Linked DNA regions of Macaca mulatta. The protein of the gene in region 1 interacts with the protein of each later gene in a biochemical or structural test. Links are inferred from orthologs where the notes say so. Each region holds a gene or a part of one and is shown on either strand. Other genes may lie near its edges.

What was found.
Region 2: the proteins of SH3GL2 (region 1) and DNM2 interact in a biophysical measurement, tested with the Homo sapiens proteins (2 studies listed by BioGRID and IntAct, with this or other methods). The link is inferred for Macaca mulatta from reciprocal best matches to the Homo sapiens genes SH3GL2 and DNM2.

The regions. Positions count from the first base shown.
Region 1 is NC_133420.1:81,360,242-81,363,919, reverse strand, and holds part of SH3GL2 (endophilin-A1), read left to right. Parts: intron 1-639; coding exon 640-743; intron 744-2,748; coding exon 2,749-2,879; intron 2,880-3,678. UniProt on the Homo sapiens protein: Implicated in synaptic vesicle endocytosis. May recruit other proteins to membranes with high curvature. Required for BDNF-dependent dendrite outgrowth.
Region 2 is NC_133424.1:11,521,059-11,524,879, forward strand, and holds part of DNM2 (dynamin-2), read left to right. Parts: intron 1-854; coding exon 855-1,015; intron 1,016-3,821. UniProt on the Homo sapiens protein: Catalyzes the hydrolysis of GTP and utilizes this energy to mediate vesicle scission at plasma membrane during endocytosis and filament remodeling at many actin structures during organization of the actin cytoskeleton.

The DNA.
Region 1 (3,678 bases):
AGATTCATGGGACAACACTGCCTCTGTTGACTTGGAGGCTGCTGCCTAGCTGGATCGTAATGTGAAACGTAAAATCAAGAGAAATCAAGCTTAGAATATTAGAGCAGGAATGCATGCAAGATGTCACTTGATTCAGCCCTTTTACATTATAGAGGAGGCTCAGAGAGCACAGAATATTTTTCTGTCATACCATGTCGCCTCTCCGGGTACATTATGTGAGATATTGTCACATTTTTATTAACAGTACCAATATTAACAGCATGAAAAGTATAGGGAACAAAGAGTCCTTTGGCCAGCGTACCTTCTTTTCTATATCGATAAAAGAAGTCAAATCCCAAATACAAGATTGTAGCTAGGCATGAGACTCTTTAGAGCTTTATGGTCTTCCTGAGGGTTACCAGTGTTGCTTCTCCTCATGGTACTGATATGCATGATTCTAAGCATAAGGTTGCTTTCTTTTATCCTTGATGGATTTGAAACCTGCTGACCTATCTATCTTAATTGGCTTATCACACAGTCATCAGCACCACCAAACAGGGTCTGTGTGTTGAGTGCAACCTGTTGTATGTATGAAACAGTAGTGGCTGTTTAAGGATGGTAACATGGAAACTAAGGCATGATTTTCCCATTGATCTGCAGATTGAACAAGTGAGCCAGCTTTCTGCACTTGTGCAAGCTCAGCTGGAATACCACAAGCAGGCAGTCCAGATCCTGCAGCAAGTCACGGTCAGACTGGAAGAAAGGTATTCTACAGTTCCCTGCATTTCATATTTGCATTTCATTGCTATAAAATGATATATACAGAAATGGAAATCATAAAATACATTTGGAGACAAACATCTGCCAGAATTCCTGCTTATCCTAAACAGGCACCTTGTGGATTGTTTTGATTTTGTTTTTTCTTGTGCTTTGTTTGTTGAATCTAATTTTCTGTTTATGAGAGGTCGATACTTGGGTTGTATTTTGGTTGCCACAGGTGGGACACCAGGATGCTACTGCTGATAATGGATGCTGGATACATATCATTATCAATCTTATAACAGCCCTATAACCTAAGTATTTTTAGCCTCGACTAACAGATGAGTAAACTGAGGCTAAGAGAGGTGAAGTAACTAGCCCAGGGTCACTCAGTGGTACGAGTGGAGTTCACAGCCAACCATAACCTGTTTGAAAGGCTGTTTCTTTTCACATCTTGTGTTTCTCTGAATGGTGGTCAAGTCCACTGCCATCAGAGAGAGCCGCTTTCACCTTGTTCGATGTACCTCACAGCAGGGCTGTGGTAGTAGGAAACTACCATGTGAATGTGGCTCCGTGGAGTTGTGGGGCACAGCCTGTGTGGCTGTATACCAGTGGTCCTGTGTTATAATATAATATGTGTTATTTTAATTCAGCCAGATCAAACAGGGTGATTTTGCTGAACACGTATACCTCAAAGGGTCACCTCAGCAGGCTTTTTTCTTAGGCCACATGGCCAGATTAGACTCTCATAGCTGATCACGTGGCTGCCTGCATGATGAAGACCCCAATCATACGATTCCACGCCATTGAAAACATCACCTATTTTCATTGTTTTCCCTCAAGCTGATCTCATCTCAGCATCTTCTTAGATTCGTGGTCTAACTGAGCATTTTCCTTCAGCGCACCCTTGTGGAAACTTATGTAACGCTGAAGCCTCCAGAAAGGTTTTAAAACCATATACTTCAAAATACTAAAGAAATATTATGTGTCTTTGTAATGTCTCTTGAGCATGAAGGGAGCACTTTCCTTTCTTTCCTCTGAAACATGTTCAAAGTCAGTATCATTCTACGGTTACCATACCCTAAACCCTCACCCTCCCTTGCAAATCTCTTACATACTTTGTTTATTGAATACCTGAAACCATGGGAATTATTTAGGGGTGTGTAGAAGACAATTATTGGCCATACCTTTCCAATTTCCTTCTGTCTTCCCTCTTTCCTTTCCTCTTCCCTATATCTCAAACTGCTCATTCTTCTCACAGCACACAGTGTATTTCCTCCTTCCCTCTATCCAAATCTTCTCATGTTCTGAATGGAATAGCTCCCTTTCACATTTTCATCTGGAAACAACTCCTGTGTATCTTTTAGTTCTTTCCTTAAACCTCCTCCACCTTCCTTATGGAGAGGTAGACTCCTTCCCACCCTCACCCCCAACTACACCCCTGTGTTCCTGTGGCACTTTGTAGATATCTGTGACAGTGCTTACTAAAACTTATGGTCATCAGTTGTTTGTGTTCTGTCTCCCTTACAGACCATAATCTGTTTGCGTCTTTTTTAAAATTGAAAAAATTGTGGGTACATAGGTGTATATATTTATGGGATACATGAGGTGTTTTCATACAGGCATGCAGTGCATAAGAATATCATGGGGAATGTGGTATGCATCCCCTCAAGCATTTAGCTTTTGTGTACAAGAACTGTGTTTTAATTCATTTCTGTGTTCCTGGTACCTAGCACAGTGCATATTTGGATAAAGGACTCTGAATAAATGAGAGAGGAAGTCAGGGATTGAGAGAGAGAGTGAAGACAGTGAGGACATGGCCCCATAAAGGGGCATCACCAAAATCTCAGACATGCACACACAAGAAAACTAAGGGTCCTTGTTTGATTTCCCACACTTCATCATGGTAGCATGGTGGGTGACCCAAACATTTCCTGAATCTTTATATTTCCTTTTGTTTTTACTTAACTGGCCACATAACCTTTCCCACCTCTTTTCTTTTTCCTGCAGAATAAGACAGGCCTCAGCTCAGCCTAGAAGGGAATATCAACCTAAACCACGAATGAGCCTGGAGTTTCCAACTGGAGACAGTACTCAGCCCAATGGGGGCCTCTCCCACACAGGCACTCCCAAGCCTTCAGGTAAGGAGCTGAGACGGCAGATCCTATTGCATAGGCCTTGGCATATCCATTGGCACTCTTCCAGAAACTTTAGGAATAATCCAATCTGGCTGCATAGGAAATATGCAGTAATAGATTTCTTATGGAGTGGTTTGTCAGGTAGAAACTCTGTTAAAGGAATCCTTTTGTCTTTTTTCATTTACCTTTTCTTTCCTTCCTTTTAATTCTGTATAAAACTTTATTTGTATATCCCTTTCTCTCTCAATCAGCAGCACACATGAACACATTTTATTTTGACCCTCCTTTGTGGTCGTAAATTGCCTTTCCTTGTCAGTTTGGTCTGCGTGTGTCATCTTTTCTCCTTCCTGTTCCCTCTGAATCCAGCCTGTATGACAATGAATGCCCCTGGACAGTGTGTCCCCATATGCATTCACATAGAGCCCACAGACGGCAAGCGGCTCCAGAAATGTGCTGATGAGCTGGATTTCTTGAGTCACAGAAGCATATGGTTAAATATATTTGCAGAAGATATTTTGAAACTCGACACTTGCTGGGTTTTCTTTCCCGTGCCTCACCTCTGATCACTTTATCATGCTGTGGCACTGGGGTTGATATAATAAAAGCTAGATGATATTTTATCTCAGGAATATCGATGCATACCTAATAGAGCATTCTTTTCCTTGTCACGCTTGCTCTCCACTCCCTACGTGCAGATTACACAACAGCCTGTGCTGGAGACATTTTCAACCTCCACATTTGCTTGTTTGAAGTGGGAACTGTCTTATACTGGATGTGGATGTTAGAGATAGACAGCTTTCTT
Region 2 (3,821 bases), on another chromosome or scaffold:
GTGGGGTAATTACAGCTTGCTGCAACCTCGAACTCCCAGGCTCAGGTGATCCTGCCATCTCAGCCTCCCAGGTAGCTGGGACTATACACATGTGCTACCACGCCTCGCTAATTTTTGTATATTTTTGTAGAGATGGGGTTTTGCCATGTTACCCAGGCTGGTCTCGAACTCTTGGGCTCAAGTGTTCCACCCACCTCAGCCTCCTGAAGTGTTGGAATTACAGGTGTGAGCCACTGCACCTGGCCTTGAGATTTTTTTTTTTTTTTTTTATTCAGAGTCTTGCTCTGTCGCCCAGGCTAGAGTGCAGTTGCATGATCTTGGCTCACCGCAACCTCCACCTGCTGGGTTCAAGCAATTCTCCTACGTCAGCCTCCCGAGTCCCTGGGACTATAGTCAGGCGCCACCATGCATGGCTAATTTTTTGTATTTTTAGTAGAGATGGGGTTTCACCATGCTGGCCAGGTGGCCTCGGACTCCTTACCTCATGATCCACCCGCCTCGGCCTCCCAAAATGATGGGATTACAGACTTGAGCCACCGTGCCCGGCCGAGATTTTTTTTCTTACCTGTCTTTGAATCTCAGCTTGTAGATTTCATCCGCCCCAAAGCTTTTTTCTGTCCCTGCACACACAGGCTGGATGTGATCCCTCCTTCCTCCAAATACTTAACGTTCCTCTTCGCAGCTGCCATGTGCATTCGCATCCTCTGTGTTGTTTCCGAGTAACATGTTATGACATAGTCTGTGAGTGCCTTGTGGGACAGGATACATCTCTATACTTGAATCTTGCCCATCTCCATGCCAGGTACACTTGGCTCACCTAGCTTTGCCCCTGCCCTGACTGCCTCTCCCCACAGGCTACATTGGCGTGGTGAACCGCAGCCAGAAGGATATTGAGGGCAAGAAGGACATCCGTGCAGCGCTGGCAGCTGAGAGGAAGTTCTTCCTCTCCCACCCGGCCTACCGGCACATGGCTGACCGCATGGGCACACCACATCTGCAGAAGACGCTGAATCAGGTACTGCAAGGGTTTGCAGAGTAGTGTGCAGTGGCGTAGGCTGTGCACTGCACAATAGCTGCAGTCCTCACTGGCACTTGTTTCAGGCTAGAGCAGCAGTTGTTTTAGCAAAATAGGTTCAGTCCACATTTATTTGTGCTGTAATAAATGTACTTGGCCAGGTGCAGTGGCTCATGCCTGTAATCCCAGCACTTTGGGAGGCCAAGGCAGGAGGATCACTTGAGCCTAGGAGTTCGAGACCAGTCTGGGCAACATATGGAGATCCTATCTCTAGGAAAAATAGAAAAAAATAGCTAAGCATGGTGGCATATGCCTGTAGTCCCAGGTACTCAGGAGGCTGAGGCAGGAGGATCACTTGAGCCTGGAAAATCAAGACTTCAGTGAGCTATGTTCATGCCACTGCATTCCAGCCTGGGCAATAGAGTGAGACCCTGTTTCAAAAAATTAAATAACTAAATAAAAGCAATGTACTTGATTTAGGGTCTGGTGAAAAGCAGATGTTCAGTGACTTGGTGCTGCTACTATTACAACCATCGCTGTTATTACCAATATTTTAATTACCATTGTAATTATTCAGTCATTTACCCAGAAGATTGTATGCATTGCGTGGTATTGGTGACGGGGTTTATAACGTTTTTATTTATTATTATTATTATTTTTTTTTTTTGGGGGGGAGACGGAGTCTCACTCCATCACCTAAGCTAGAGTGCAGTGGCATGATCTTGGCTCACTCCAACCTCCACCTCCCAGGTTCAAGCGATTCTCCTGCCTCAGCCTCCTGAGTAGCTGGGATTACAGGCATGTGCCACCACACCCGGCTAATTTTTGTATTTTTAGTAGAGATGGAGTTTCACCATGTTGGCCAGGCTGGTCTCAAACTCCTGAGCTCAAGTGATCCACCTGCGTCAGCTTCCCGAAGTGTTGAGATTACAAGCATGAGCCACCGTGCCTGGCCTATCGTTCTCTTCTTATAAGTAATATATTCACAGGGTGCATAAACAGAAATGGTATTAAAAGCTATACAGTGGGCCAGTGCGTGGTAGCAGGGGCAAGATGTTCCTCTGTGCTGTTTTCCAGCACCTTCCAGGATGGCAGCAGGGCCTCAGCAGCACTCCAGGAGTCATCTTTTCACGCACATATCGGGGCACGCAGTGTCCACACGAGAGCAGGTTCCTGTCCTTGTGGAAGGCATAATTCTAATGAGGGAGACTGACACCAAACAAACCACCAGAGAAATGCACGATCAAGAATCCAGTAGGGGCGGGGACCGGGAAAAGAGCCACCCAAAGAAGGCAGCTCAGGAGAGCAAAGAGGGAAGTCAGTGTCTAGAGGGAGGGGCCCACCAGGAGAGGAAGCTGGGGTCTGCCTGCAAACGGGAGTAGGGAGAGGAAGGGAAGTAAAACTCCACAGCTGGCTGGGTCCTCCTGAGAGCCAGCAGCGAAAAGCCCAGGTGGCCACCAGGGAGCCTGGAGGGGGCTCAGCCTCCTTTCGCGTGGGGTGCTTCCCAGAGCAGCAGTGCCCCTTCCTCTCCATTTGCTCACGGCTTCAGTGCAGTAGTATCCTGTCAGAGACCAAGGGAAGGCCAGCGTAGCTCCCTGCCTTTCTAGGCAGCCCACACAGACGGGGGTCCATGGCCGGGGCTGCAGGGCAGGGATCCCTGGTCAAGGAGATCTTTGGGGTACCCCACTGGCTCCATGCCATAGATGTGAGGTTCCTTCATGCCTCTTTTCTAGCTCACTGGACACTTTTTATTTTATTTTTATTTTTTTGATGAATTTTTTTTTTTTTTTTGAGATAGAGCCTCACTGTGTTGCCCGGGCTGGAGTGCAGTGGTGTGATCTCAGCTCACTCCAACCTCCACCTCCCAGGTTCAAGTGATTCTCGTGCCTCAGCCTCCCAAGTAGCTGGGATTACAGGTGTGCGCCACCACACTTAACTAACTTTTGTATTTTTAGCAGAGACAGGGTTTCATCACATTTGCCAGGCTGGTCTCCATCTCTTGATCTCAGGTGATCCGCCCGCCTCAGACTCCCAAAGTGCTGGAATTACAGGCATGAGCCACTGTACCCAGCCTGGCCTTTTTTATTTCTCACCCCCCGCCCCAAGATGGAGTCTCCCTCTCTCCCAGGCTGGAGTGCAGTGGCGCAATCTCAGCTCACTGCAAGCTCCGCCTCCCGGGTTCACGCCATTCTCCTGCCTCAGCCTCCTGAATAGCTGGGACTATAGTCACCTGCCACCATGCCCGGCTAATTTTTTTTTTTTTTTTTTTTTTTTTGTATTTTTAGTGGAGACAGGGTTTCACCACGTTAGCCAGGATGGTCTCGATCTCCTGACCTCGTGATCTGCCTGCCTTGGCCTCCCAAAGTGCTGGGATAACAGGCGTGAGCCACCACCCCCGGCCCATGCCCGGCCTTTTTGATGATTTTTCTCTGTTATCCAGGCTTTCTGATGCATTTTACTCTGTTGTCCAGGCTGGATTGCAGTGACACAAACACAGCTCATTGCATCCTCAGCCTCCTGTACTCAAGCGATCCTTTTGCCTTAGCCTCCTGAGTAGCTGGGACTATAGGCGTGTACTGCCACACTCAGCTAAGTTTTAAAAGGTTTTTATTTTTGGTAGAGAGAAGGTCTCACCATATTGCCTGGGTTGATCTCAAACTCCTATCCTCGAGTGATCTGTCTCAGCCTCCCCAAGTGCTGGGATTACAGGTGTGAGCCACTGCACCCAGCCTTGATGAACACTTTCTAAATTCTTCTCTATTGTGGGACAGATGGCAGAACTCTGCTTTACACTTTTCAAGTATAG